Canis lupus familiaris: one gene and its partner. The protein of the gene in region 1 binds, or shares a complex with, the protein of each later gene. Links are inferred from orthologs where the notes say so. Each region holds a gene or a part of one and is shown on either strand. Other genes may lie near its edges.

What was found.
Region 2: the proteins of TNKS2 (region 1) and SH3BP2 are in contact, whole or in part, in a crystal structure (PDB 3TWR), measured with the Homo sapiens proteins. The link is inferred for Canis lupus familiaris from reciprocal best matches to the Homo sapiens genes TNKS2 and SH3BP2. Residues at the interface, in NP_079511.1 of Homo sapiens: Arg525, Ser527, His531, Phe532, Gly535, Tyr536, Asn537, Arg538, Leu560, Asn565, Ser568, Tyr569, His571, Asp589, Trp591, Phe593, Glu598, Lys604; in NP_001116153.1 of Homo sapiens: Leu413, Gln414, Arg415, Ser416, Pro417, Pro418, Asp419, Gly420, Gln421, Ser422, Arg424.

Annotation. Positions count from the first base shown.
Region 1 is NC_049249.1:6,508,756-6,512,567, reverse strand, and holds part of TNKS2 (poly [ADP-ribose] polymerase tankyrase-2), read right to left. Parts: intron 3,658-3,812; coding exon 3,548-3,657; intron 2,665-3,547; coding exon 2,476-2,664; intron 484-2,475; coding exon 231-483; intron 1-230. UniProt on the Homo sapiens protein: Poly-ADP-ribosyltransferase involved in various processes such as Wnt signaling pathway, telomere length and vesicle trafficking.
Region 2 is NC_049224.1:61,990,445-61,994,256, reverse strand, and holds part of SH3BP2 (SH3 domain-binding protein 2), read left to right. Parts: coding exon 1-26; intron 27-291; coding exon 292-362; intron 363-1,182; coding exon 1,183-1,277; intron 1,278-1,440; coding exon of another isoform or gene 1,441-1,483; coding exon 1,484-1,552; intron 1,553-2,997; coding exon 2,998-3,652; intron 3,653-3,812. UniProt on the Homo sapiens protein: Binds differentially to the SH3 domains of certain proteins of signal transduction pathways. Binds to phosphatidylinositols; linking the hemopoietic tyrosine kinase fes to the cytoplasmic membrane in a phosphorylation dependent mechanism.

The DNA of each region.
Region 1 (3,812 bases):
TTGGAAGGAGAAAGTTTCATTAGGGACTAATAACATAAAGAAAACAACAAAAGACTAAAACTTAAAGGCTAAAAAAAAAAAAAAAAAAAAAAAAATTAAAACTTAAAGGCTATGCTAATTAAACTGGTACTAACAGTTGTATTTAAGGTTAAAAAATGACTTGTTATAATTCTAAATGACAAATCTGTGGCTATATTACAAGACAAAGTTATTTTTGCAGAATGTCTCACCCTCCTTTTTCTCCAAACTAGAGGCACCCTCTGTTCCACTTGAACTAACTACTGAAGACAGTTCAGAAAAACTCCCAGATAAGTTGTCAAGACTGCTGGCTGCAGAAAGACTTGATGGGCTGGATGGACCTGAAGACAGAGCATCGCCGGTAGCTCCTGGGCTTCTCACGCCATTGAGCACTTGAGGTTTATAACATGAAGGCAGAGCAGAAGGGGGCATGGCTGCTGTCAAGAGAGCGCTAACATCATCTGCCTGGTGTGGGTCAGAGAGAAATTAAATCTGTGATAAGCCAAGTTTTAAAATTCTCCTATACCCAACAGAACGCATTTAAAAATATGACAAAAACTCAGCAGATTTGCACTAGAGTTGCATATTATATAAAAATGATTATTTCAAAAGTAAAACAAGTGATATCCAGTCAAACTGTTACCAAATCTAAAATAATTCAGAAAATCTGTTCAAAGACACAGAAAATTAAAAAAAAAAAACCCTGTTAAATGTAGCAAAGCATAAAAAAACCTAACTTTGATACTATGATATTCTGAAAAACACTGAAATGAGCTATAGTAATATCAATTTTAAAAGGTAAGAAAATTTTAACACTAATGCAATTATTCTGGAAGAAGTAATTCAATCTACATGGAACTTCAGTAAACAATGACTTGTTTATATTTCTTGGAAAATATTCAGTGATATATTTGCTCCTTAAAATTGAATGGGGGGAGTGAGATCATCATTTTAATAAAATCAGCTAGCATGGAAAAAAAAATCCCCAAATTTACTAGTATATTAATTTGTTTAATTACTGATATATACTATTTTTTTCACAATGCTCAATTAAGACCCTAACTAATTAATAGCAAGAAGTAAATCAGTACTTGTTTTCATGACTAGTCATGGATACAGTCTCTTCTAATCCTTACCTTTTTCCTACCAGAGTCTGAGGACTTCCACAGCACTCACAGCTTGTAGGTAACATTTTAAAATAATAGCACGATCTGTTGGGTGCTTTTTATGTATTTGCTATCATACCTGGGACTTCAAGTACATTACCTCATTTAAATTTCATATTAACTAGACATATACATACACACATGTATGTATCTTAAAGATTTCATTTTTAAGTAATCTCTACACCCAGTGTGGAGCCCTAACTCACAAGCCCAAGATCAAGAGTAGCATGCTTTTCTGACAGTCAGCCAGGTGGCCCTTAACCAGACATATTTTGCCCCCATTTGTAGATGACTAGGCAAGGTGAAAGAGTGTGCAACTCTAAGTGGCAGAGCTGGAATTCTAAGGCAGGTCTGTTTGACCCTAAAGTCCACACCTGTTCTCTAGAGCCCTTTGTTTCATGTCAATTATGTCTGGTGGATGAACAAATGGGTGGAATGAATTAGAAAAGTATACTTCCAAAGTATTTTGGAACTAGAAAGACTTTTCCCTGAAGAAATACTGCAAATACTGTTGGGTTGTCAGCCTGCTGAGAAAAATCTATTTAACCCCCAATGCAGCTGAACTAAATCAGCTTCTCAGTGTAATCTGTAACAGTGGAATCTCTCTCAGGAGAAAGCAGTATGTAAAAGACACTTCCCTTCCCATCTGAACAAGAATTTCTTCTCCCTTTTCCTCCAATGCCCTGGTCAATTTCACAGTCGTAAAGGCAAGAGAGACACCTATGTCACAGTGGCCAAGGCAGAGGCTACAATGGAGATGCCTACATGAGTTCCCTTGGGAGAAGGAAAAAACCAAAACCAAACAAACTTCATAGAAAACTGGAGGAACAAGCTTGTTTCACAAATACTTTCGGTGAGATAAGTGAGGAACAGGAACTTTGGGAAGAGGCAGTCTGGGAGGGAAGGGAATCCCTACTATAAGCTGGTTTTATGGCTGCACTTTGAGAGCAATGTCCCTGACTGGGAAGGTTCATCATATGTCCTCTATGACTCTGCATAGTACACACCATAATAGCTTTCACTGAGGGCCTGCGCCTGTTTTGTTTCCCAACTAATAACATAAGCAGCAATACCATACACTTCTTTTTCCTATTTCTAAAAGCACCCCGGATACAATAACTGATTGATAATCTTATTATTTACATATTATATTTTAACGCCAAAGATGTCCTACATTTAGACTGGGCTAAAATAGATTTTGCCACATTTACCATGAAGACATTTTATATCTACCAAGTGAACTTTAAAAAGTCAGAAAGCAATGAGATTTTTCAAAGAGTCCATCACTTACTGAAACTAAATCTAAAGGCGTTTGTCCTTCCTGATTTTTAAGAGTAGGGTCAGCTCCATGGGCCAGCAATAAAGCACAAAGCTGTGTTCGTCCCTTTTGGGCTGCTTCATGCAAAGGTGTAAAAGCCCACTTGTCCGTGGCATTGACACATGCATTATACTTTATTAGTAAAGCTGCTACATCTACATGCTGTAAAAGAAAATATTCCTGTTACAGTCTGAAATATTACCACATTTTAGTTCCCAAGAAGAAACTTACTATATACCTATTTTTCCATATTTTCAAACCTGTTCTGGAAATGAAAAACTGTGTTGCTCCCAAACATAATTTATGGGTAGCTGATTAAAAATTACAGATGTTTTAGTAACTTGAGAATTTAAGAATTCTATACCGGATGGGAACCAAATAAATGAATACAACTTAAATAACTTCTCATTTATTCAAGTTTTATAACTGCTAAACATCGATTTATAAATCAGCAACCTTTCTCAGTTATTCCAATTATACGACTGAAGCTGGCCAATATTGATTATAACATTTTAGGGTCATTATAAACTCAGGAACAACGCATCTGAAACTCTACAGACTCCTAGGAGTCCTAGTGGGTATCCTTCCTGGCATCAACAAATAAACAAAACTATCTTACTGAAGATAAGAGATGGTAAAGAAGGTAATACAACGAATGACAAATGTGCTGCATGTCACACAGCTAGCTTACAACAAAATCAGAATTGAGACCTGGACATTACTTAATCTCTTTAGTCCTCATATTTACTCCTCTAAAAAATGAAAAAGTCAAGCTAAATGCCCCCCCCCCTTTTAAGATTTTATTTATTCATTCATGAGAGACACAGAGAAAGAGAGGCAGAGACACAGGCAGAGGGACAAGCAGGCTCCATACAGGGAGCCCGACGTGGGACTCGATTCCAGGTCTCCAGGATCACGCCCTGGGCTGAAGGCAGTGCTAAACCGCTGAGCCACCTGGGCTGCCCCCTAAATGCCCTTTGAATTGCAATACTGATTTCCACTTTGAAAATTTCAGAGATTTTAAAGGTAATAGGAAAGAACTTACCCCATAAGATGCTGCATTATGTAAAGGAATAAGTCCTCCTTTGTCTTGGGCATTCACATCAGCTCCATGTTGTAACAAATATTCTGCAACTTCTAAATTATTATAACCAGCTAATTTAGAAAAGAAGTAAAATTACTTCTACTTAATATAAAAATAGTTACATCTATGTATCTGTATATACCTGTATAAGAAACACAGACATTCTTTAAAAAAATAAAGAGATTTTATAGAAATCTGATATCCCCCACTGGACTATTAAGATTTT
Region 2 (3,812 bases), on another chromosome or scaffold:
CGGCCTCCTCTGAGGATGAGCGCAAGGTGAGCCTGCCTTCAGGAGTGGGGAGCTGACAGGGCCAGTGAAGGGATGTGGCAGGGACATGGGGCTGGGTGGGTGCTGTGCCTCAGTGCTCCTCCTGAAGCCCAGGGCCTGGCAGCAACACCACGCACTCAGAAGCTGTCCTGGGTGGAGCTCTGAGTAGGCCGAGGGCCCATGAGGGTATCTCCCTGACCTTCGTGTGGACCAGCCTGGGCAGACCCTGCCCAAGGCAGCAGTACACCCACTACGACCCTGCCTGACCCACAGAGCTGGATGGCCTTGTTGCGGAAGGAGATTGGGCACTTCCATGAAAAGAAGGAGTTGTCCCTGGACACCAGGTGTGCCTGCGCATGGGAGGGGTGGGTGGGGTGTCACCAGGGCAACTGGGCTTCACATGCGTGTCTGCCTTCCCTTGAAGTGTTCCCAGAAGGTGCCAGCCAGGCTGTGTGCGTGTGTGTGTGTTTGTGCGTGTGTGTGTGCCCCCACACACACCCCTTGGTAGTTTCAGCTCAGGGGTCCCACATGACCCTGCCTGCCCACGTAGGAGGCCCAGCATTTGCAGCAGCTCAGAGCTTTCGCTTCCCAGTCCCCTGATGCTCACCTGGGCCCACCTGGGACAGAGAGGGGAGCGAGCGGGTCCTTGGGGCACTGGCTCAGTCCCTCTGGGCGTCGGTGACCTCACTGAGAGGAGGCCCAGCAGGCAGCAGAGGTCCTCTGGGCAGGAACAGAAGCCATCCTGTCCTTTTGGAGCTGAGACGGAGGCCTTGGCCACAGATGCCTGCCTGACCCCAAAGCTCCCTGGCCCTGTACCCTGAACAGCTCAGTTCAGTGTTGATGGCAGCCCCCAGGGCAGGGTAGGTGGGGTATTGGGGGAGCCCTGAGGGCTGGCACCATCTGGCAAGGCAGGGCAGTGGCAGGGAGGCACCAGGCCTCCAGTCCCTTGGTCTGTTTTTATCACTCATGAGGAGCTTGTTTGAGCATGAGTCTTACTTCGTGTCTAGCTCTGAATATGCCTGTGTGTCTCTGTGTGTCGTGTTTGTGCATGTGTCTGTGTCTGTGTGCATGTGTCACACAGCCAAGGGTGTGCATGTGTATCTGTATGTGTGAGTGCAGAGGAGCTACCCCTACCCAGTGCTCACTGCCCCACCCCTGCCCCAGCTTCAGTGACTCTAGCTCAGACACGGACAGCTTCTATGGTGCAGTCGAGCGACCTGTGGACATCAGCCTTTCTTCATACCCCACAGACAATGAAGGTAAGGCCTGTCTCTGCATACCCTGTCCCCCCACCTCTGCATACCCTCCCCTGCCAAGGAGGAGAGGCAGCCTAGGTCCTGGGTTCATACCCTGCCCTGTGCCCCCCCTGAGTCCTGGCTCCCAGTGTTCTGAGGGCCCCTGCCCCATCACTCTTGGGTGCAGCTGGGCCTGGGCTGCCTGGGGTCTGACCCTCTATCCGCCTCAGACTACGAGCATGAGGATGAAGACGACTCATACATGGAGCCTGACTCCCCGGAGCCTGTGGAGCCCGAGGGTAGGTGGGCAACTTGTGAGCCTGGTAGGCTCCTGGGGGTGGAACCCAGGTAGGGCCCCTCCCAGGCTGGGAGTGCCAGCCTGACTACTGCTCTGGGTGGCCTCAGTTTCCCTGTCGTGGCCCAGGTTTTAGGAGGGACAGAACAAAAGAGATGTATGCTTTGGCTGGCTCTGTTCACCTTGTCCTCCTGCCTTTGCAGCTGGCCCGGGTCGGAGGGGGGAGGTGATTTCCAAATGTGTGAGGTGGGGGTGCTGCATGTGTGATGCTGAGCTAGTGGTGGTCCTGGGGGCTGAGAGTGGGGAAGGAGGGACCCTAAGGAGTGGGTGGGGCCAGGGCAGGGCCTCCCGCCTGTGGCTGATGGCTCTCCAGAGCACCTGCAGGCCAGCCTGTCAGGTACTGACCCACTCCCACCCAGTGGCCAAGCAAGGGAGCAGCCATGTACCAGGCATCATGTACATGTGTCACAGCCAAGCACAGGGTCAGCTGGGGGAGGGCCGTGTCTCTGTCCTGCCATCCCACAATCCTTTCCACTGTCCTGGGCACTTGGGACAGTCCTTCTACCCCAGCCACCCTGTTCTTCTGTCATTCAACCCCACCTCCCCTGTCAAATGCAGCAGGTGCAGCCCCCTTCCCTCCTACTGGCCCCTTCCCTCTGGGGACACCACCAGGACCTGCGGGCCATGTGCCTCAACTTCCCCCCCAGCACAAGGCCCATGGCTCCATCTCGTGTCCATCTGTCCCACCCTGAACTGCGGTCATATGTGGCTAGAGATGAACACTTAGGGGCCTCTCTTGGCCTCCGGGGCCAGTGCTCCTGCACATGGCCCCCCCACCCCCCTCCCCACCCTTCTGAGTCCCCACTCCAAGCAGGCTTCCTTCCCTCCCCAAAACATCTCATTAGGGTTCCAGTGGTGTCCCCACTCTCACATGCAGCACTTTGCAGAGGTACCTTCTGCTCCAGGCCCCTCCCACCTCACTCAGTGCCATCAGCACGAGCCAGGCCACCCCAGGACTCAGGCCGTGTTCACTCCTCTCCCGGCAGCCTCAGGTCACTGGGACAGCCAGTGTCACGGACAGCCTGGGGACTCCAGCCAGCACCTCTCCTCTGAACCTCACACCTGTGCCCCAACAGCGCACTTGGCACCCTTTCAGTGTGTCCTGCGACATCAGCAGACACAACCACCTTCTACCTCCCGACCTGCTCCCATCCTTCCTCCTCAGCTCTGTCCCTGGGAATTATAGCTTCCCCCAGCGGAAGCGAAGTCCTAAGAGTCCCCTTGCCTCTTCTCTCTCATTTCTGCTTCCGGGAAGCTGATGGCTCAGGGAGCTTGTGTGGGCTGCTGGTAGGGGGTGGCTGAGGAAGGGAAGGTGGCGCAGGTCAGTGGTGGTGGCCCAGCCTCCAGCAGGTGACACCTGTGCACTGACTGGGTCTCTTTACTCCGCAGACACCCTGACCCACCCTCCGGCCTACCCCCCGCCTCCTGTGCCCACACCCAGGAAGCCAGCCTTCTCTGACATGCCCCGTGCTCACTCCTTTGCTTCCAAGGGCCCCAGCCCTCTGCTGCCACCCCCGCCCCCTAAGCGTGGCCTCCCTGATGCCAGCCTGACTTCTGAGGACTCCAAGAGGGACCTGCTGGGCCTGAGGCGGCCAGAGGCTGGCCTCAGGGTGTCTGTGGCCCCCCGGAGGATGAGTGACCCCCCAGTAGGCCACCTGCCACCTGTGCCCAGCCTCCGGAAACCCCCTTGTTTCCATGAGAGTGCCAGCCCTAGCTCAGAGCCCCGAGTGCCTGGCCACGGGACTGGCTCTGTCTCCAGCTCTGCCAGCATGGCCACCACCTCCTCCAGGAACTGTGACAAGCTGAAGTCCTTTCATCTGTCCCCCCGGGGGCCGCCGACACCCGAGCCTCCACCGGTGCCAGCCAATAAGCCCAGGTTCCTAAAGATGGCTGAAGAGGCCCCCTCAGAGGAGGTGGTCAAGCCCAGACTCTTCGTGCCTTCTGTGGCCCCTAGGCCTCCTGGACTGAAGCTACCCACACCTGAGGCCATAGCCAAGCCAGCAGTCCTGCCGAGGTCAGAGAAGCCACCCCTCCCCTATCTCCAGTGAGTTCATTTGGCGCTCATGCCCCTGGGACCCCTCCCCAACTGGCAGATCCTCGTGCTGGTGCCCTGGCTGCCTCGTCTCTGGCATTCCCTGTCCATGACGGGGACCAGACAGCCCTAGTACAAGAGCAGGGAGGCTTAGGCTGAGCAGCCTCCCCTG